3 linked regions of the Caenorhabditis elegans genome follow. The protein of the gene in region 1 binds, or shares a complex with, the protein of each later gene. Each region holds a gene or a part of one and is shown on either strand. Other genes may lie near its edges.

The links. Proteins that work in one complex are often made in the same cells at the same time.
Region 2: unc-112 (region 1) and unc-97 share a complex: the UniProt entries of both Caenorhabditis elegans proteins name them as parts of the integrin containing attachment complex.
Region 3: unc-112 (region 1) and pat-3 share a complex: the UniProt entries of both Caenorhabditis elegans proteins name them as parts of the integrin containing attachment complex.

The regions. Positions count from the first base shown.
Region 1 is NC_003283.11:14,691,006-14,699,268, reverse strand, and holds unc-112 (Protein unc-112), read left to right. Parts: upstream 1-2,614; 5' UTR 2,615-2,639; coding exon 2,640-2,722; intron 2,723-3,140; coding exon 3,141-3,205; intron 3,206-4,199; coding exon 4,200-4,467; intron 4,468-4,706; coding exon 4,707-5,884; intron 5,885-5,954; coding exon 5,955-6,358; intron 6,359-6,952; coding exon 6,953-7,117; 3' UTR 7,118-7,407; downstream 7,408-8,263. Other genes in the region: set-5 (SET domain-containing protein), read right to left, coding at 1-299; gasr-8 (uncharacterized protein), read right to left, coding at 7,408-7,608, 8,087-8,254. UniProt on the Caenorhabditis elegans protein: Component of an integrin containing attachment complex, which is required for muscle development and maintenance. Probable regulator of cell-extracellular matrix adhesion. Required during initial muscle assembly to form dense bodies and M-lines.
Region 2 is NC_003284.9:5,590,602-5,595,819, reverse strand, and holds unc-97 (LIM domain-containing protein unc-97), read right to left. Parts: upstream 2,688-5,218; 5' UTR 2,659-2,687; coding exon 2,516-2,658; intron 2,460-2,515; coding exon 2,347-2,459; intron 2,297-2,346; coding exon 2,176-2,296; intron 2,129-2,175; coding exon 1,976-2,128; intron 1,925-1,975; coding exon 1,681-1,924; intron 1,637-1,680; coding exon 1,512-1,636; intron 1,454-1,511; coding exon 1,306-1,453; 3' UTR 855-1,305; downstream 1-854. UniProt on the Caenorhabditis elegans protein: Component of an integrin containing attachment complex, which is required for muscle development and maintenance. Probably function in adherens junction.
Region 3 is NC_003281.10:3,908,077-3,916,774, forward strand, and holds pat-3 (Integrin beta pat-3), read right to left. Parts: upstream 6,074-8,698; 5' UTR 6,054-6,073; coding exon 5,856-6,053; intron 5,801-5,855; coding exon 5,596-5,800; intron 4,979-5,595; coding exon 4,575-4,978; intron 4,477-4,574; coding exon 4,040-4,476; intron 3,484-4,039; coding exon 3,145-3,483; intron 2,586-3,144; coding exon 2,098-2,585; intron 1,665-2,097; coding exon 1,378-1,664; intron 1,325-1,377; coding exon 1,253-1,324; 3' UTR 855-1,252; downstream 1-854. UniProt on the Caenorhabditis elegans protein: Integrin alpha ina-1/beta pat-3 is a receptor for laminin. Integrin alpha pat-2/beta pat-3 recognizes the sequence R-G-D in its ligands. Plays a role in cell migration, morphogenesis and probably in cell-cell interactions.

The sequences.
Region 1 (8,263 bases):
TTTCCAGTCCCTCGAGCATCCAAACAGACACATCCGTATGTGAATAGAAAGTTCACATTTCGAGAATCTTCTTGAAGTTCATGATGAAATGCCAATAATCCTCGAATCCTCACAATTGGCTCGTCCGGCTCGATGTCTAGATTTGAGACGAGAGCTCTGTTGATTAAATAGGATTTCGAAATTTCGATACTGCGACACTTTTTTCCGAAACTTCGAACTTCTGTGATGGGGAATAGTGTCGGAAGCAGCTCCTCGACGTTTTTCGAAATGATTGTTGATGATTTGTTTTTCGGGTTCATTATAATGCGATCTGAATAAATTTCAAATTAATTTTGGCAATGAAAATATGGATTAAAATAGAAATAAGCCTGCAAGCATAGAGGAAACCAGATTTTCGGTTTTTTTTTTCAGAAAAATGACAAAAATTAAGCGCAGGAATGAAAATAGATGAAAAAAAACCGTTTCTTCGAACATTTGTAGAATTTGTGTTGGTTTTTTTTAAAAGGATAATGCGAAATTTTGGAGTTATATGCACTTCACTGAAAAACGGATAGTTCTAATGGGAAGGAAAATTCTTATTCGTGAAGTTATTGGGCCCATTTTCTTCAATTTGCTCGATGATTTAAGAGGCACTGAAGAAAATGCGAGGAAATTATTTTTTTTAATTGTCTGACTCTACGGATTTTTTTTTAATATCCACTATTTTTTCGGGATTTTTTTTTTGATAATTCTCTGTTTTGAACAAGATTTTATAACACAGAAACATAGGAAAATGCCGAACTTTAGCTCTGAAAACTATTAAAAGTTATTTTTATCATGAAGTACAATTTTTCACGGAGAAACCCGACACAAATAAAAGTTTTACGTGATGTTCAACGTTTAATATAAATTTTCAAACAAATAAATCGAATATTGGCCAAAAAAACTAAAGAAAACAGAGTAAAAAGTTCAAAAATAAGATTGCAATTGTTGAAAAACAATGAAAACAATTGCTCGTAAAGTTATGGCGAAGTACGCAAAAGCCTCTGCGTACTTCGCAATCTACCGTAGTCATCAATTAATTTTTTTGTCAGTCGCGCGCGACAACATGTCGTGCCGTGCCGAGAAATACTGCATAGGATATAAAAACAAAGAAACGTTAAGTGATAGCTGAAAATATCAGTTTGATTTAAATGGCTACAAGGTTATTCCTTGACACAAAAAATATCCCGTAGGGAAAACTACAGTAATTCTTTAACATCTTTAAATTTCGATTTAAATTTCGGAAACATTGATTTATCGATTGAATATTGAAATTAAGCCGAAAATTAAAAACTAATACGAGGAAACGAAGAAAAATGAATATCGATGTCACTATTCGAAAAGAAAATCATTTCAAAAATCCGTAAATCGACTAAAGCGCTACAGTAGTCATTTTAAGTATTAATATAGTTCTCGCTACGAGATATTTTGCGCACTATGCATTCTCAGAGTTTTGTGTTCCCGTATACACAGTGCTCAAATTCTTCGTCCAAAAAATTTCTGAGCTTATTTCAAGTTTGATCCAACTCTTGTTAATGTCTTATATAACTTTAAAACGATTCAAAAAACGATTAGGTCAAAAAGTTTGATTTTTAACGCCGCCAAAAAAATTTGCATACGCTTTATAAGCAACTTTTGTACCAAGTTTATATTTCTTTTGAGCCAGACTTGGACAAGAAGTTAGCATTTTGTGTCAGCGCATATTGAAATTTCACTACCATTTCTAATATACTGTAAAGGATAGTTACTTTTGTGGAAAATCTGAACTTTTATCAATTGCACCATAAAAGACGAGGTTACCAAGTGTTCACAGTATGAACTTCACACGTGGTGTTAGAGTGTCCCATTGATCTACGTAGTTCACATTGTTCACAAATGTTCACATTATCCAGATATTCTAATTCAGAAACTAGTATACACCTTTCTCCATTTCATTGCACTTCTCCATTCATACCCAACTACCCGTGATATCCTATACTTTTACTCTCTCTCTCTCATGTCCAATGTCCCTTCAGAAGCTGCTTCCTGGCATCTTCCTCCTCCTTCTTCTGCCAAATCTTTCTGCCAGCCGGGGGACGGGACTCTTTGTGTAATGTTGTCTTCTTCTTTTCCTTCATCTACAGCAGCATCGCCTACTGTCATTCCTTCCCATTCCCGCGTAGCCGCCTGCCGAGTGTCCTTCAACTCTCCGTCTCTTCTACAACTGTTCACTCTCTCTCGCTCTCTCATTGCATTTTGGAACATACAGATAGGGAGTCAGAGAGATAGAGAGTGAGAAAAGAAGCGGAGAGACGGTGTTGCTGTGAGTCAGAGACGAAGAGTGTGTACTGCTCCGGCCGTCCGTTTGTTCGTCCGCATCGGCAGTCTTTTCTCTCATTCTCTCATTCTTCAATGTTCTCTAGCCTCTTTTTTCGTTTATTTTATTCTGTATACACGTTCCTCTCTACCTGATATTCTCCCACACATAGCTTTTTTATTGATTTGTTGATTGTTGTTAAGCGGTTTTTTTTGTTTTCTATTCTATCTACCGTGGACGGAGAAAATACACTGTTTCTATAATTTGCTAATCTTTCCAACAACTAAAATATCTCAGTGGTTCTACCTAAATCACTTCAAACATGGCACATCTTGTTGAAGGAACCTCGATTATTGATGGAAAATGGCAATTGCCAATTTTGGTCACCGATTTGAATATTCAAAGGTGAGGATTTAAAATTATATATTTAGAAAATATTAACTTTCAATAGTACTGCATGTTTAGCAGTTGTTCTTAAATAACTGCAATTGCAGGAAGTTATAGAAAAAGATTCAATGCACATTTTCTGAATTCAAGTCATTTTGTCAGAATAAGTGATAATTGAGTTATTCTCGGATTGAGGTTAAGCCTAAACCAATCCTAGGCCCAAGCCTAAGTCTAAGTCTACGACTAACTATAAGAATAAGCCTAAGTCTACGCCGAAGCCTAGCCTAAGTTTAAGCTTAAGCTTAAGTTTAAGCCTTACCCTAAACCCTAGCCTAAATTTTCAGAAGATTCCGGTTAAATTTTTTTCCAAACATGAATGAGACATTTTCAAACTCAGAGTCTTCCAATTTCCAATAAATGTATTTATTTCTTCCAGAAGCATCTCTGTCCTTGGAAATCTTAATGTGGGAGGACTCATGCTCGAACTTGTTAGCGAATGCGGTGAGTTTTTTTTTCGAATCTTATCACCTCGGTCAAGATCTCAAAGATCTCAATAGACCATGATTTCTCTCTTTTCTACTCAATATAATCTGTTAGATATATCTGCCACTGTGTGCGCCTACGCGTTTGTTACAACGAAAAGATACGTGGTGTGTGCACCATTACGAAATGATGTTCAATATCAGTAAAAATTGAAGGCATGGGAAAATGTTGAAATCTGCTGGAAAAAAATGTTCTGGAAAGATAGGGAACACTTTTGGAAACACATCGTAACGGAGCCCTTGAAGAGTGCGCCAAGTGAAAAATTTCTCGTACAATTCTTTCAAGTTTGCTGAAAATTCGTATTTTGAATAAAACAGTTTAATTAAAAAGTTAATTTTTGAGAGATCTTCACGAAATTTTTTAGGGACTGTGAGCTCCGAAATAGTTGACAAGAAGTCCTCTATACATTTTGAAACATCATAGAAACTATGCGGAACCTATCAAATATTTATGGGCTCTTCTCATCTCCTACCAGTTGCTCTTCTCTTTCTTCTTTTTCTTTTCATCCTAACCCCTGTTAATGTTGACTATTCGAGTGCACGCGTGCGCATCTACATAAGCTGATTGTTTCGGATGGGACATTCGCTGTTGGGTACATAAAGTTTAGAGGCTTTCCTTGCAGAGATATAAGAGCACACAATGATAGGGGGTCCCAGGAGAGAGTATCAAAACTTGAGAAGCAACTGGCATTCATCATGACCAAGAGCAGAAAGGGCGCATAGGAGAGGCGCATAAAAACGTTTTGGAATTAAGTTTTCGCGCGATTTTTAGAACTTGCAGAAGCTGAAGGGATGAAGATTTTCTGCATTAGGGTATAACAATTTGTGTGCTCAATGTGTTTAATTTCCAAGTTCAAAATGTAATCATTTGGGCTTCAGCTGAACAAACAATTTACAAAACAGCTGTATTGAAACAAGAATCTAAAAAACTCCAAATATTTCTATTTTTCCAGATGTTGAACGAGATTGGTCTGATCATGCTCTGTGGTGGCCGGAGAAGCGGCGATGGCTTCAACATACTCGATCGACTCTTGACCAGAATGGAATTACAGCTGAAACACAATTGGAGTTCACACCAATGCATAAAGAAGCAAGAATTCAGTTACCAGATATGCAAATGATTGATGCGAGAGTTGATTTCTCGGTAAATTCATTCAAAGCAACAAAGAAATTGTGCCGTGATTTGGGTATTCGATATTCAGAGGAATTGTCTTTGAAGAGGTAAGTAGGAATTGGGAAGTTTTTGATGTTTTATTTTTAATTTAAATAAGAATGGAGTTGTGAAATTCCTTAGTTGGTTGAACGAGGATTGAAGATCCTTGGGAATCTTAAGCAACTAGGGAAAATCTATGCCTGATCGAAATCCTGCCCCAAAAGTTTGAGCAAGGTCAAAAGTTAACTACTACCGAGCATGTGAAATAACCCAATAATTCAAAATCATATAATTTAAAATATTACAGATATATTCCACCAGAGGATCTTCGACGTGGAACATCTGACGCCGACAACATGAACGGTCCACTCTCAATGCGTCCAGGAGAAGAATCAGTTGGACCAATGACTCTCCGTAAAGCTGCTCCAATCTTTGCTTCTCAATCGAATCTTGATATGCGCCGTCGTGGTCAATCACCCGCGCTCTCCCAATCTGGACACATTTTCAATGCTCACGAAATGGGAACTCTTCCTCGCCACGGAACATTGCCACGTGGTGTCAGTCCATCGCCAGGAGCATATAACGATACGATGAGAAGAACACCAATTATGCCAAGCATCAGTTTTAGTGAAGGACTTGAAAATGAGCAATTTGATGATGCTCTTATTCATTCACCAAGACTTGCTCCAAGCCGTGATACTCCAGTATTTAGACCTCAGAACTATGTGGAAAAAGCTGCGATTAATAGAGGATGGCTTGATTCTAGCAGATCACTTATGGAACAAGGAATTTTTGAAGGAGATATTATTTTACTACGATTCAAATTTATGAATTTCTTTGATTTGAATCCAAAATATGATCCAGTGAGAATTAATCAACTTTACGAGCAAGCAAAATGGAGCATTTTACTTGATGAATTCGATCACACAGAGGAAGAAGCCACACTATTTGCTGCTCTTCAACTTCAAGCAACCCTGCAAAGAGATTCTCCTGAACCTGAAGAAAATAATAAAGATGATGTGGATATTCTTTTGGACGAGCTTGAGCAAAACCTTGACGCAGCTGCTCTTAACAGACGATCAGATCTTACACAAGTTCCCGAGTTAGCAGATTATTTGAAATATATGAAACCAAAGAAATTGGCAGCATTCAAAGGATTTAAACGGGCATTCTTCTCGTTCCGTGACTTATATTTATCATATCATCAAAGCTCCTCAGATGTCAACTCAGCTCCACTTGGACACTTCTCATTGAAGGGATGTGAAGTTAGTCAGGATGTTTCAGTTGGACAGCAGAAGTATCATATCAAATTGTTACTTCCAACTGCTGAAGGAATGATTGACTTCATTTTGAAATGCGATTCCGAGCATCAATATGCCAGGTGGATGGCTGCGTGTCGGTTAGCATCCAGAGGGAAGTCAATGGCTGATTCGTCATATCAACAGGAGGTGGAGAGCATCAAAAACTTGCTCAAGATGCAAAGTGGTAAGTTGTTGATTTTACAATTTAATAAGTGATAATGAAATTATTTTCTTCGAATGAAACAATTTTTCAGGTAATGGAAACGAAAACGGAAACAGCAACACAGCTTCGCGAAAAGCCGCCGCTGTAAAACTACCAAATGATTTCAATGTTGATGAGTACATATCGTCGAAATACGTACGACGAGCACGCAGCAAGCAACAAATTCAACAGCGAGTATCAGATGCTCATGGAAATGTTCGACAACTCACGGCAACCGAAGCGAAACTTCAATATATCCGAGCATGGCAAGCACTTCCCGAACACGGAATTCATTATTTCATTGTAAGATTCCGAAATGCTAGAAAGGCGGAATTGGTGGCTGTTGCTGTGAATAGACTTGCAAAATTGAATATGGATAATGGAGAAAGTCTGAAGACATGGAGGTTTGCAAATATGAAGAAGTGGCATGTCAACTGGGAAATTCGACATCTCAAGGTTAGTTTTTGATGAATAAAATATTTAAGATCTGGACATGATCGGAAATCGAAAAATTGCAAAATGTTGAGAACGTTTTCGAGACCTATTCATCTAAGTTTCTTGTAACAACTTTCTGATTGTTAATCTATTTTGTGATGTCTTGAAATTACGTTTTCATCTCAAAATCTTTCCTAATATGTATATCTAAACACAAAGAACAATTGGCTTTCAAAAAATCTTTGTATTGTTTCAAAAATTATAATATTGCGTTTTTGATTCAATTGTTGTTTTCTATCCATAAGTCTATTCGCCGTAACTTACTAAAAAATTCAGGTCTTTGGTAATTTAAAATCTAAATCAGATAATGTTCTCAAAGACCGAAACTTTTTCGGTAAACTTGGTGCTGACAGGAAGGTAGGCAGACTTCATGCCTATTTGCCTACATGCCAGCGTTGCACCTTGAGCGTTTTAGAAATAAATTTTTAAAATCTGTTTTGTGCCTACATAAAAGGCTTAGATAAACCCGAAAATAACCGAGAACAAACTTTTTGAAATTAATTACTTTTTTTCTTTGAGTATACTATTTTATCATCCTATCTCCCCAATTTCCAGATTCAATTCGAAGATGAGGATATCGAATTCAAGCCACTTTCCGCTGATTGCAAAGTCGTTCACGAGTTCATCGGTGGATACATTTTCCTGTCAATGCGAAGCAAAGAACATTCTCAAAATCTTGATGAAGAACTTTTCCACAAACTTACAGGAGGATGGGCTTAGATATTTAAATTTCTATAATCTTTTGCAAACCAAAGAATTTTAATTTTAGGCTCCAATTCCATCTTTTTCGTTTCAAAATTTCAATATATATATTTGTTTTCTTTCATTTTTCTTGTTTCTCATTTCCCCCCTTCCCCTCTTCCAAATAATTTTTCGTTTTAATAAGACAAGTATACCGGATCGAAAAAAAGTTTTATGTGCCTTTTCATATCTATGGATTAATAATAATTGTATGAGAAAAATTGAAAAATATTATAAAAATTGAATAATAAAAACTGATGAATAAACATTTAAAATCTTCTTCCGCGTTCCTCGAGCTTTTCGAATTTTTGTTGATTGCTGATTTCTAGTCTTCCAACGTTTCGTTCAACTTCAATCAGCAACTGATCTCGCTCTTTTTCCAGTTTTTCAAATTCTCCCATCACAATATCATTGAGTTCCTTGTATTTTTCAACTTCTTTCCTCATATTCTCAACGTTTCGCATATCTCGCTGGAATAATAATCAGGAAATTATAGTCATTTTCCATCTTTTCTGGTAGTAGGCAAACGTAGGTACAAGGCAGGCAGGCACTGTTCTGCTATCTAGCTACCTACCTAACTACCTAGGAATCCTTAATCTGTTCTATTCAACCATATAAAATCAATAGTACAAAACATATCGGCAATATAAATTTGATAGAAAAAAAGCAAATAAGTTTGTATCCCGTTATTTAAAAATTTGTTTTCAAACGGATTGAAATCATGTGAAAACATGTTCAAGAAGTATCAAGAAATTTGAAACAAAATTTTCAAGCAACAGCAAAAAATATCTGAATGTAGTCTTCGCCCATAAATTTGTTTTTTCACGATTTAGAATCGAATTGTTTCTTATTTTTCAAACTAGTTTTGTACGTTTTTTTTAAAGTTAAACAATTTGTCAGAGCAAATCAAGCAACTTTCACGAATGATACGTACATCCCTTTTCTTACCTGAAAATTCCTCTTGTAATCCTGAAGCCTCGCGATTTCTTTGCTCATCTCATCAATGTTTGCTTGATTTTGGCCGAGTAGGACGGCTTGATCCTTGAGTTTCTCGCGACTATCAATGAGATCCGCTGATATTGAATCACGTAGATCACGGAGATTTGAAACTTCGCTCTGGAATGG
Region 2 (5,218 bases), on another chromosome or scaffold:
TTCAAGTTTTCAATAAAGTTACCGTAAATTGAGGTTTGATTTTAGATTTTTAAACTAATTAGATATTTGTCAATAAATAAAATTTGGAAAAAGATGGAATAACATCTATGGATTCTTTGGTCTCAATGACTGGAAAAAAGTTGCACTATAATAAGCACAACAGTTTAAAAAATCATTGAATTTTTCTGAATTTTTTAATTAATTGTTAAATTTTGCAACAAAAAAAAATAGAAAGTATTGAATTATTTTCCCATACCCGCGTAACTAAATTACCTAATTTTGATATGTTTGTTTTTTACAGTTGTGTCAGTTTTTTGTCCTTTTTTGTGATTTTTGAGTAATAACAGAATCTTACAAAATTTTAGACTTTTCCACAAAAAAAAACCAAAAAAAAAATTGATAAAAAAGAAGAATTTTGTTGGAAATTCTTCAAATAATCGATAATTGAAAATTTATTTTTTAACGAAATTAACTTCTTGGAAACTGAATTTTTTTTGTCATTTTGAATTTAAAAAAAAATCATCGACTCTATTTCATCTTTATGTAAAATGATCAAACAGAGTTTGCTGAGCAAAAAAACGATGAAAGTCGTTTTTTGTTGGAATAGCCCAATTTTTCTTTCACATTTTGAAGCTTCAACAAATAAATTCCCAAGAGAATTTCAAGTGCAATACGATCATTTCTACTGGCTCATTCGTATTTTTAGAAATTTCACAAACATTTTGACACTGGAAAGTATAATTCTCACTTAACACGTTTCAAGTTGAACCAAAAATATCTCTCCGGGCGCTATGGACTCACCTTCCTGTTGATCACTGATTACAAATTGATTGTTGATGCCGAAAAAAAGGATTCAATATTACAATACGATTTTGTTTCAATACAGTCAATATTTTTTTTCTGAACAAAAAAATAGTACAAAAATTCAGAAATCAAGTTATGCAATAATGACACCCGAGAAAAGATGCAAAGTTTTTGCGGATAGGAACACAAAAAATTTGGTCGAAAGTTATGATTGTTTTCAGAAGGCTTCTGAATCAAAAAGTAGCTGGGAAAGGGAAGGGGAAGGACAATTATGGAGCTAGAAATGAGTACAATGACATTTTTGTGTGACCGAAAAATAGTTTTGAAATATAAGGCATTTAAAAGACAAAACGGATTGATAACAATTTTCACGATGTTTTTTTTTAGCACCAAGGTATTAAAAACAATGGGAAAGAGAAATGAGCAATGGCATTTGGAAAGTATTACTTCTTTAATGGAAATTGATGAATTACGGGGACTCCTTTATTTCTTTCTTTTTTATTATTTTGGTCCAGGACTCATCGATCTTCTTTGATTTTCAACGTCGCGGTCCTTTAAGCTTTCTGAGATGCGCTTTTTCAATTCTGTGGGGAACCGATCGTAACATCGTTTGCATGTTGGTTTCATATCGAATTCATAGAATTTCGTTCTGCAATGCATACATTAATTTGTTTTCATCAAGTTCATATGAATAGTTTTGCACTCACTTCTGATCAAGTTTCTTATCACAAAAACTGCAGGAGAAACATTTGACACACCACGTTTTCTGAAGAGCTTGGAATACTTCCCCGCAACATGGATCTCCGCATTTGAAACAAAGATTTCCGAATAACTGCAACAAACTTATTAATGTTTGCTTGTTCATATTTCAAGTACCTTGTGGAAGTGCTGTTCGCAATATGGAAGTCCCTTTCTCTCGTAGTGACGATGTCCCAAGAATGGCTTCTCACAGACGGAACAGACAAAGTGCTCCACGTGCCAGTGCTTGCCGAGTGCCGCGATGACACGCTCTTCAATCGGCCTGTGACATGCTCCACAAATTGGGATACCCATGGTATCGTGGCATCTGAGACAGTAGAGCTCTCCGTTTACTTCACGAGAAGCTGTCGTTAATTCATTGCTGAAAATTTTTTAAATTCAACTCATACTGTAAAACAAGATAAATTCTTACTTGCAACGTTTGCACTTAAAGTGATAAGGATGGAATGAATCTCCACGGAATTTGATGTGTTGTCCATCATCAATCATTGCGTGGCATTTGTGGCACACATATCGTCCATGACCTGCTGCCTTTTCCCGTTCGTTACATTCGCGACAGAGAGCTCTGAAAATTGAAATTCTTTCGAGCTTCGTTTACGCTCTCCAACTTACCGTCCAGCGTTCCGTAAAAATCCGACATCGGCCAACTGTTTATTGCAAATCTCACAACAGAAACATCCCGGATGCCAGCTGGCATTCATTGCTTTAATCACTCGTCCAACGATGAACTCGTCTAGAATATAAAACATTTATGGCTCTGCGTGTCTTCTCAAAGATACTTACTGCATTTTCCACAACATGGTGAGAACAGAACATGGAAGTCATGCTCGCAGTACTTTCGTCCTTCATACTCAAAGTAGATGCCGTCTGGGAATGGCTCAAAGCATTGAGCACATCTAAAAATTTTTTTGCAATTTTTGAGTTCTCTTAATTCTAACTTATAAAAACTTACACAAAACACTCCGAATGCCATACTTGCCCGGAAGAGTTCACCATCTGATCTTGCATCGAAAAACCATCATTACAACGGACGCACACCATGTTCTCGAAGCCATGGGCGAGATCCCCGTTGATATGGTTGTGGTCGGAATCCATTCCGCCACACACCATCTATTATTGAACCACTGAAAGTTGGCCACTATGCACACAGGATGGTTTAACGACCATGGGTTTGTAAGGAAAAAGGTGGGGGTAGGAAAGAAGAAAAGAAAGCGAGCGAGTAATATGAAGACAAATATGTACAAACAAGGGAAAGCCGGAGAAAGCATATAGTGTGTATAGGTTAGGTATGTTGGTTAATCGAAAAGAGCACAAAAAGTCAGAATTTCATATCTACATTTTGTTATATGCAAAGTAAATTTTTGCATAAACACAGAAATTTCCATATTCTAAGAATCGTAAAAACACTGGAGGTATTATACGAGGGGGCTGTGAAACAGTAGAAAAGAAGAAATCCTCAAGGAAGAGGCAAATGTGCCAAAGGTATAGGATGCGACGGGTTGACATATGTGTAAGAAGAACTCGGAGGCGGTGGCGTGGAAGCTTTTGCCATTGCATTTTGTGTAAAGAATGAAAACGAACCAAGAGATAGAGATATAAGTGAACAACAAAAGTATGTGTGTGAGTGCTGCTGCACAACAGATTCAACAGGATGCCTCAGCTTCCCTGACTAACTCACAGAGGGAGACGTGTATCCGATGTGTTGATGATCAGTATTGATTGGGAACAGAAAAAAGATTCTTCAGAAACATCGGTTGGGATATCGTGTGTTTAAATGGGAAAAAATTCGAACTAGTTATTTCGATTTTTTTTTGACTTTCTATGTACTACTCTACATAACAAAATTCAGTGAAGCGGCACATTTCACGCTTCAAAATGTGATACATGTATTACACCAGATGTTTTGAGATGCAACGGAGGAAAGCAACAATGCTTCTTTTGTGGTGTTTGCATTTAAAAATAAAACTAGTTGTAAAAATGAAACCAAAAATTCAATACAACTTCTATACGGCTAAACTATAAAGTTTTGAATTATATTTAAACATAGTAATAGTTATAAACAACACCTTAAAAATGATAATAGTTGTTGAAAATCAACTTTCCTCACACAGTGATATGGGCATTTACTGGGCAAAAAGAAAGTGCGCAGAATGTACAACTAAAAAGAGTGGAAGAAAGCGAGAGGCAATGCGCGCGCGGCGGGTTGGCCGACAGCCAAGCGGGGGGTCACAGACTACGGCCGCAGACGTAACGACTCCGGGAAGAGTGCGCGATTCGAAGAGACGCATACAATCGGGTTGCGTGCGTAGGGTCACATTAATAGCCAAGTATTGCTGCTCGTTGATACTCGGAACAGGCAGGAACAAGCTTTTTCTAACACATGTTTATAGACAGTTGTGAGAATAAGAAAGGATCATCAGTTTAGATATGAGAAATCAAAAGACATGGTTGAAAAGTACGAACCCCGCAAATGTTGGCAGATAAATGTTCAGTATCTGACCTTCGTTTGTGTTTTTATATTCTTACGACTGGCCTTGATCATGAGCTAGTATCATATATCAGGATGACAAAAATCCAGAAATTGTAGCTTGAAAACAATGACTAACTTTGAAATGATGACATTATAGAATGAGGTCCTCTGCCAGTAGAAATGCCTCCACCTGCCAAACAGCTGTGCGCAGTGTTGAGAAATACCACCGCTTTTTCTAGAAGATCGTAAACCGATAACAGAGGTTTTTGGACCGACTTTTTTCGGAGCAGTGTATAAATTCTAAACTGAGTATTTTATTACACAAATCTATAAGTTTCAAAGTGAGTTTCTACAAAATGAACCAGTGTGGCATGTTCTCAAAATTTTTTAATTGAAACTCAGTGATATCGAAAAATCTTTAGCTTGTCTAAAAATATTTTTAATTTCAGTTGGAACAATTTAAAAAGTGCTCACAATTAATCCGAAAGTTAAAACATCAAATGAAAAATCTTTCAAAAATGTCCTATTTTCCCAACTAAAAAAATCTTATTTTCAGAGAAAGTAAGTAGTTTTCCATATTCTGAATTTCCATAAAAAAGTTTGTGAGCACATGCCAAACTGGCTCATTTTATAAAATAGTTGGTCTACAGTTGCCACGAATGTCTGGTGTTCATCATCCACATTTGAAAATGTTAGAAAAATATTTGTGTAGATCACAATTTTTCAATTTCCTTTTCTTGAAGTTTTTCGTTTCATAGTTTTATAGCATCTTCCTGTTAGTGAAAACTAGCTTGAAAGGGAAAACTAAACATTGAATTGTCTACACAAACTTTTTAAAATTTCTTTTAAAAAAATCAAATATGGATACTGGACACGGATCAAAACCGTTTCAAAAAAAATATGTGTGAAAAATATCATGCGCACTAAAAGGAGCACTTTCAGCAGTTCCATTCGACTTTTTTTTTTGATATATTACTTTTATTCATAAAACAAGACAAGGGATTCAAGAGATCAGATAATTTTTAATGTTCAGCACATTTGATTAAAAAATGACAGAAATGAAATATGACAACAATAGTAATGCATCAGCGTTGAATTGGAATAATAGGATAAAATTGAAAGAAACAAAAAGAATCACACAGACAGGGAGGGGAGCCGGAGCAGATCAAGATGATGTACTATCGT
Region 3 (8,698 bases), on another chromosome or scaffold:
ATTATACGCCCTAATCTAGAAACTACTTCGAAAAACTTATTATTTTTTTAAATTCTAATTTAGAAAGCAAAAAATAAAACAATAAAGACCTTGTAGTCGCCGTCAATCTCTTGACAGATCGTAAACAAGCGCAAAAATGAAGATGGGCGGTTTTTTAATTGAAATTTTAAACAATAATATTAGAGAACTTTCGAATTATTTAAGTAAAACTGAAAATTATCGAAAAGAAACATTGATTTAGCATAAAAAGCCGCAGAGGACACTCGGGGAACAACAACTGACTCTGTGTCTGCGTGCAAAACTGAAAGTAGCATTTATCTCTGCGCTCTCTCATTTTTGTGCGTATTTAAGAAAAGTCTAGTCACTTCTCTATCTTTCTTTTTTCAATCCTACAATTCACGTCAAAAAAAACTTGTTTATTCTTTGAAGGAGGGTCAGATATTTGATTATTGTAGTCTCTAGCGTTTTTAAGTGGTAAATACTAAATTTTAAATCGGTTGATATGCAAAAAATAAATTAATCAGGCTTAATAACAGTTGTCAAACCACTTCGGGTCAAATACTTGAAACTTTTCGAACTTTTGGGAATCTTCTAAACTGAAAAATTGAAAATCCACACGGTAAATAGGATAAAAAGAATTCCAATTTTAAACGAAAAAATTTAAAGAAATTAAAAGAAATAAAAAATTGTCGTCAAGTTGAATGCTTTCTGTGCACTTGGATGCAAACACCAAGCTCCTCACTTTACGCGCAATTTTTTTTCCTTTTTATAATTTAAAAATATTATTTAACATGTCTTCTCAGATAGTTATGGCTAATATCAGTTTCAACCAAAAATTAAAAAGACAAAAAATTAATTTTTCAGATTTTTTTCATATAAAATTAATATTACATGAAAAATTCGAACAAGATAGTTCAAAAATAAAAGCACCATTGAAAATTGGAAATAGTACAAGAAGTGTGTGAGTTGTTGGTCGGTGTTAAGAGGGACAAAAGGCAATGAAAGATGAATATAAAGCAAGTCAATATATAGAGAAGGAAGAAAAAAATCCGTATTTAGAATGGGGTAAAAGCAGTGTGATGAACAATTGATGAAGGAAAAAAAAACAAAAAAATGGAGATTTTTTGAATAAAACAAAGAAGAATGTGACAATTTATCGCTAAATACTCGTTTCGAGTTGTTTGGATGGAGAAATTGAGCTTTCATATTAGAAAATTTGGGAAAATTATTAAAATATAAGGATAAAAACTATTTAGTTGGCTTTTCCAGCGTATACTGGATTTTTAAATGTTGTCGTGGCCTGTTTGTAGATTGGGTTCTCGTTCTGAAAAATGATAATTTGATAAATTTATATGTTTTTTGTTCCGTGTCACTTACCGTATCCCATTTGGCCATAAGCCTTTCGTTATTGAAAGTAGCGTATTCGGATCTATCATGAAGTACTGTGAGCAATTTCCAGAGCAACAAGAGAAGAATTCCGAGGATTACGATACCCGCAATGACTCCGAGCACAATTGCGAGCACAGGGACAGGTGGAGGACAATCTTTATGTTTTCTGACCCAGACTGTTGCATTATCTGTGGCCTCATCGTAATAGTAGAGATAATAGAATGTACAATCATCAGCTGGATCCACAAATTGGCAGGGTGTAGTTTCGTTGAGATCTGGAAATTTTAAAATTTCAAAATTTCAAGTTTTTTAATCGAGAAAAAAGGTTTAGAGAATTAGCAAAATTGCAATATTTACGTTTTAAGTATTATACACATTTTAAGGCAAAATCCATTATTTTCAGAAAAAATGTTTCTATTTTCCTGAAAATCAAGATTAAACGTTTAGAAAATTAACAAAAAGTGTAATATTTTAACAAATCAAATCAAATTTCCATTTAAAAAAAGAAGAAAAATGGGCAAAATTCCAAGCTATTTTTCGATAAATCAAAAGTTTTAGTTTTCCAATATTTCGAAAAAATATTTTAATATCTTTTTTTCTTTAAATTTTCCGATCAAACGTGTTTTTTTTTCAGAAATAAAATTTTCAAAAGTTTCTGACATTTAAAAAATTGATTTTCTGCTTTATCAGTATATTTTTTTAACTTACTGGGTAATTCCTCAACAGGAATAACTTTGAATTCACACTGATCACAGGCGGTCTCATTAAGTGGCCCTGTCTGCCATTGCTGGCACATTACACAATTCTTGTATTCCACACATTTCGTCGGACACGTCGGACAAATTTCGCATTTCGCTCCCGAATATCGATTTCCGTCGGGCGAATCGAAGCATCGACATCTTCCACAAATACATTCACCCTTTCCATTACAGATTTTTCCATTTGCAGAGAGGCATGAATCAGTTGAAATTGGGCATTCACAGGCTCTTCCAGTCCATCCAGGTGCACAAATACACTTTCCACAGTTGCATTCACCGTGTTCTGCACAGATTTTACGATCGTGTCGTGGGCAATTGAAGTTGTCGCATTCACAGAATTCTCCAGAGATTTGTTCTTCTGGATTGGCACGTGGATTACATTCACAACGTCCACAGTTACACACACCACGACCCTCACAGATTGCTGATTCGTTAGTTCTGGAAATTAGATCATTAGAATTTTTAAAAAAGAAAAAACGGAAAACAAAAATAGCTTAAATTTTTTAGCATTTTTGATAAACAATTTAATTTTTGTTAATTTTCTAACTTTTTTTCCAATTTTTTTGATTTTCTCTGAATTTTTTTAAAAAATGTAAGAAAGCAAAAATTATTTTCTAAATTTTCGAGCAAAAGTTTAAACTTCTGATTAGGCAACGACCTTTTTTTCGGAGTTTTTCCGGCAAATTTAAATGGATTTTCTCGTTTTTTCTTGTGATTCCATCGAAGGCGTCAAATTTTATCCAAAAAACCGAGAAAATTCAGTTGAAATTTTTAAAAAGAAAAAACTACAGAAAATCAATTTATTTGGAAATTTTCAAGGAATTTCAAAATTTTGTGATCTTAATTTTTATTCCAATCAATTTTCGATTAGTATTCCAGCCATAGAAGTTTTATAGCTTTTTTTTCGATTAAAATTTTTTTAATACTGCTCGGCCAATATATTTTTTAAAATTATTTCTCACATAATTTTCATGTTAAATTTTAAAAAAAACCATACCTTTTGCATTTTTCATTGAGCGCAGCAGTACTCATTCCAGGTCTATTACATTCACAATATTTTCCAACATTTCCTCCTTTGCATCGACAAACTCCACAAACCATATCTCCTCCGTTACAATCAGCCGAATTCGTCACAATTCTGTCTTGACGTTCACAATCACAATCGCATAAAACTTTAACATTAACGATAAGTGTCTCATCCAATCCAGATGGTCCGATACGGAGAACAAAATCACGTTTATCGATACAATGAGTATTTTCAAGGGTTACTTCGAATTGAACTTCATCTCCAACACGAATTCCCTCACAAACATTGGTATCTTTCAGTGTGGTTCCGCTGAAAAATTACGGTTATTTATAGGGTCAAATTTTAGAATAAAATTGTAATAATTTTAATAGTTTCGCTCCAAAATTGTGCTTTTTTTTAGTTTAAAACAATTTTATGTGAAGACTTTTTCGTCTAGAAACGTGAGAATTTAAGAGAGCTCAATTTTTCGATTCAAATTACTTTTTTTTTAATTTCGAGAAAAATGAATATTGAAAATTGCACGGCGAGGGCAATATTGTAGATATTTTACAATTATTTATATTGTTTTATGTAAAAGCGGATGAATCTGAAGGTTTCAACACCGAATTAACAGATTTTCACCTGAAATACCATAAATAAAAATTATATTACCAATTTTGAATGTTAAATACAAAAAAAGTAACAAAATAATCCAAAATCAGAATTTCAGCCAAAAACGCTTCTTCTCGTGGAGTACACGAAGCCTGCGTAAATCTACATGATCGAGGTCTTTCTCAATCTGTTTCTACAGCGTTTTTTTGTTTTTTTTTTAATTTTCAAAAGTTCCCAACTTTCATTTAAATTGAATATTATTCAAAAAACTCACTCCAAACACATAGATCTGTAAGTGAGCTTGAGTCCTTCTGAAGCATTTGCATTATCAACCATAATGATCTTTTCACTAATTTTCAAATATTCCTTCTCAATCAAATCGACAATATTTCTTGAATCATTAGCCAAAACTCCAACCGACGATGAAACATCTGGGAGTGCATTCGACAATTGTGTATACAAATCCTGATTGTTCTTTGTAACAGCAAAAATGACATTTGCCTTACGATCCTTGATCATTTGATGAAGAAGTGCAATTGATGGATAATCTTGATTAAGTGTTTCAGTATAATATCCTTCTCTATCTAAATGACATGTTCCATCATTTGGTTCGACGACACCTGCCAATCTTCCGTCTCCAGCGAAATGGAATCCAGCGTCAGTTGAGAAAACGATCATTTTACGAGCACGTTCACGCCACCCAATGGTTTTCTGAAATATTGATTTTTAGATTTTAAGCTTTCCCGATATCTCAAAAATGTTGATTTGATTCTTTTTGAATTTTTCTTTTAAATCAAATAACCACTTACATTACAAGCCAACGCCTGAACAACAGCATCGAAACCTCCTTCCGGAGCATCCAAATTTCCAGAAATTTCAGCTTTATCAACTTCAGCCTTGAACTTTGCCGTGTTCGTCGTCAATGACATTTGATGCTTGAATCCATATGGTTCTGCACATGGTGTTGGACACGGAGATAATTGTTTTTCGATTCGTGGATCGATGAATGGCATAAGTTTCTTGTCAATGAATGAACCGAATCCTAATCGGAAATTCTTTGTGACAGTTCTCATTCGTTCGGCGAGCAAGTCTCCGAGTTCGGACAGTTTCTGTTTGTCATCCTTCATGGAATATGAGAGATCCATCAAATAGTACAAGTCAACTGGATAATCAACGGCTTGACGGTAGGTCACATTGAAACGAACACGGGATTCTGAAAAAAAAACATTTAGATTGTTGTTGATATTGAAGAACTGGATTTAGAGAAAAATCTTGTGATTTTACAAGTTTTCGAGTCGCAGCGGTCACTAATTAATTTTTATTTTATAATCACCCTGAATTGCAAATTTTAGAAGTTTATCATTAATTCGTTGATTTAGGCATATTTTAAGCCCAAAAATCTCTTAAAATCCAAAAATAGTCAAACGAGCCTAAAATGTGTAAATCAACGAATTATGATAATAATAATAAATTACTTCACTTAATTGTATATTACAGGAGCTTTTTAAGATAAAAATTAAATAAAAAAGAGGCTGAAAATAACCAAAACCGGAAATATTTTAACTTTCCGCAAAAAAAATGCAGTACGATTTTTTTTTCAGTGTTTTTGAGACAATTTTCAAATGTGATTTTCAGCGGTTTTTGTTGTGAAAAATCAATGAAAAACATTTCTTTAATTAGTGCAAATTTTTCCTGAAAATTTAAGACTACGAAATTACCCTGAAATCTTCGTTTTTTTTGCTGAAACCCCAAAAAATTTTTTGTATTTTATTGATTATTTTCATCGAGTTTTTAAACGAATTATCTTTGAAAACCATATAAAAAACTTACTGGGCCGAATTTCGACGTACATCTCCTGTGGTTTGATCTGAACGGCTTCTTCCTCAGATTCAACTTGTCCTTGATCGGAGAGTTTACTGTCTTCAGTGATATCCAATTTTGTGGCCGGATCCTCGATATAACTGTTTGGACATCCATGTTCCATGAGCTTGGCACGGCTATCACAACGGGCATATGGCTTCTTCTCGTCGAACATCTGGAATTTTTTTTATTAAATAAAATAAATTCATGGTCTCAAGCATTTAACATACCGGTGCTCCACACCACGCGCAAGATTCATGATATTGAATGCACGCTGAGCATGTGTAATTGTCACGTGACAGACTGTAGCATGGGAATTCTGATTTTTCGACGACTTTTCCAGTGACTTCTCCAGTCTTCCAATCGCTTGCTGGTAAAGCGAATGGAAGAAGTGCTGCGAGGAGCAGCAATGATGTTGAAGGTGGCATTTGATGCCGGGTAGGTTCAACTGAAAAATTAATTAATTGGCTTTTAGTACATTGAGAACGGAGTAATTAGAAAAAAAAACGGTGAGATTAAAAAATGGTGTATTTATAAGAAAAATTGATGATGAAACTCTACAGAAACCTGATATCAAACTGCTTTCAACAGGTGGCAACTTTCATACAACTTTTGAAATTTTTAAAGCTCTCCAAAAAAGTTAGATTTTTTGAAAAAAATATTTTGATATAAAAATCAAGAATATCATACTAAAAATGGCACATCCCCAATTCATAATTTCTTCAGTGAAGAAAAAGTTATAATATAAAAGTTATACAATAAAAAATATATAGGAAATTTTGAAAGAAAATGACTTCTTGAAATATTAGTCACCATAGTAGGAAAATTTATTGTTTACTCAACAAACGGAGTGAATGCGGGAAGTATAACGGAGTCATGTTCTTTTTGTTAGAAAATTACATAGTTTTCGGGGGAAAATATAAAAAAACTTGCAGCGAGGAATATTGGAGTTCAGACAACTCGGATTTGAGAAAAATCGGTCGTGTCGAGACCGGGTACAGTATTTTCGGGAAACAATAACTTAATTCGGTATCTGCAGGCACACATGTGTAATGTATGAAATTTGAGATTTCGGGATAAAACTTCATCCGTTTAACATTTTTGGAAGTTATGCACATAACTTTTCAAACCTTAAAAATCGATAAAAGTATCAACTACGTCCACCGATCACCTCTTTTCGGAACGTGGGCGGATCTGCCAAGTGCTTCGACAGGAGCATCTCTCGCCTTCTCTCTCTTCACAACTGCCATCAACCCAGCAGCAGAATGCTCTTCGAAGAGATAGTGTAGGCGATAGAGTGCTCTATGTTGGCCGGGAGAGGGGCTCGGACCAAAGTGTAACGAGAGTTACACCTGCTTGTATCGTCGAAGAAACAAAGAAGACGAAGGGAAGAAAACCAAAGGGAAATGGGTGAAAAGGCGTTAGAATCGGGAGCTTCTAGAGACATCAGAGACCGATGAAATTGCGAAATTCACAGGAGGGGGTTTGATGTGGTGAGGAAAGGGATTTTTCGATAGTTTCAATATCGTTAGTTTGGTTCAAAAGTGGGAGTGGATTCTCATTTTGGAAGACATTCAAACAGGGATATTAGCTGAAACTAAAAAAAAGGATTTCACATTCTAGATCGACATTTTCCTTCTTTTTTTTGTGGTTTAATGAAATTTCTGACTATTTTGGGTATTTTTAAGCTTCCCGCTATTCCAAAAATGTTTAAACTCATTGCTGAACATCAAAACTGTTCCTGGTAAACTAGTTTAGGTGAAACTTTGAAGATAACTATAATTCTTGCTCTTACAGCTTATGAATGCACCTAGTAATTATTAAAATGTCAAAGTATAATTAATTTTAAAATGGCTGTCAAAAGTTATCATACAACGATATAACAATTTAGACATTGTGAAAAACGACGATTTCAACACTTAAATAACGAAAAGAGTAGAAAATAATAGCGTCTGAGTCATTCTTGTTCTAAATTTCCCACGCCCACCGTCTCCCGTCTCCAATCCATCAAATCGATAACAATCTGATAGGAACTAATTCAAAATCCAAACTGAATTGAAATTGAAATTGGGAGGAACAAAACGAAGAAGGGAACCAAGGGATGACAAGTAGTAAGACATCTGGTGCATACATATACTAGTATCCTCTGTCTCTATGTCTCTCTGTGTTCGTATTGCCCTTGTGTGTTTAATCATAGCACTAGCCCGGAATAAAAGAGCATTGAATCTGTGGAGAGACAGACACAATGAGAAGAGGGGTCGACTGTTGGTACTTTTGTTAGCAGGAGGGGAATCTACAGAGAAAAGAAGCAGTTAAACGGAGTGTGGACAGCAGCAGTCAGGATATATGGAGATCGATGATTATTGTGGGTGATGATGGGCGGCGGAAGAACAAATTAAAACAAAGTTTTCTCCCGAAAAAATACCGTTTTTCGTAGGCATGTGGAGATATTCAGCATTCAAAATTATGAAAGATGCCGAAAAAGAGGAATATTCTCTCTGGGGATATATCATCACTCAGGCAGAGCAACTTTTGATGGCCCGACACCATCAAAAAGAGGATGAAATGTAGTTTTTTGGGGAATTCTTGAATGAGAAAAGAGCTGAACTACAAAATAAAGACAGTGCAGCATGTTCTCATAATATTTTTCATTAAAATAAAATGATAAAATTTAGAAAAATAGAAAAACGCTCAAATTTTATAGTTTGTCGACGTTTTTTTAAGCGTTTTTCCAATTGTTTTAACAGAAATAGAAGTTATTTTCGAATAAAGAAACACCAGAAGCTAATTTAGCTAAACCTCAAGAGAAATACGAGCTAAAGAAGCTTTTCTTTCAAGAAACATTCTATCAATGCAGAATTCTCCACCAAAACCTGCGTTTGAAGCTGTCAAGCTAATATATCATAACTTTCACCTCTTTTTCACTTTTCCCCGCTAATTTTCCTATTAGTCGGGCTATATCTTGCTGTCAAACGATATGCACTTGAAGAAGAATTATTAAAGTGATTGGAAACATGGAAAACATAAAGAAAAACAAATGAAACGAAACATTTTGCGAAATAAAGAAAAATAA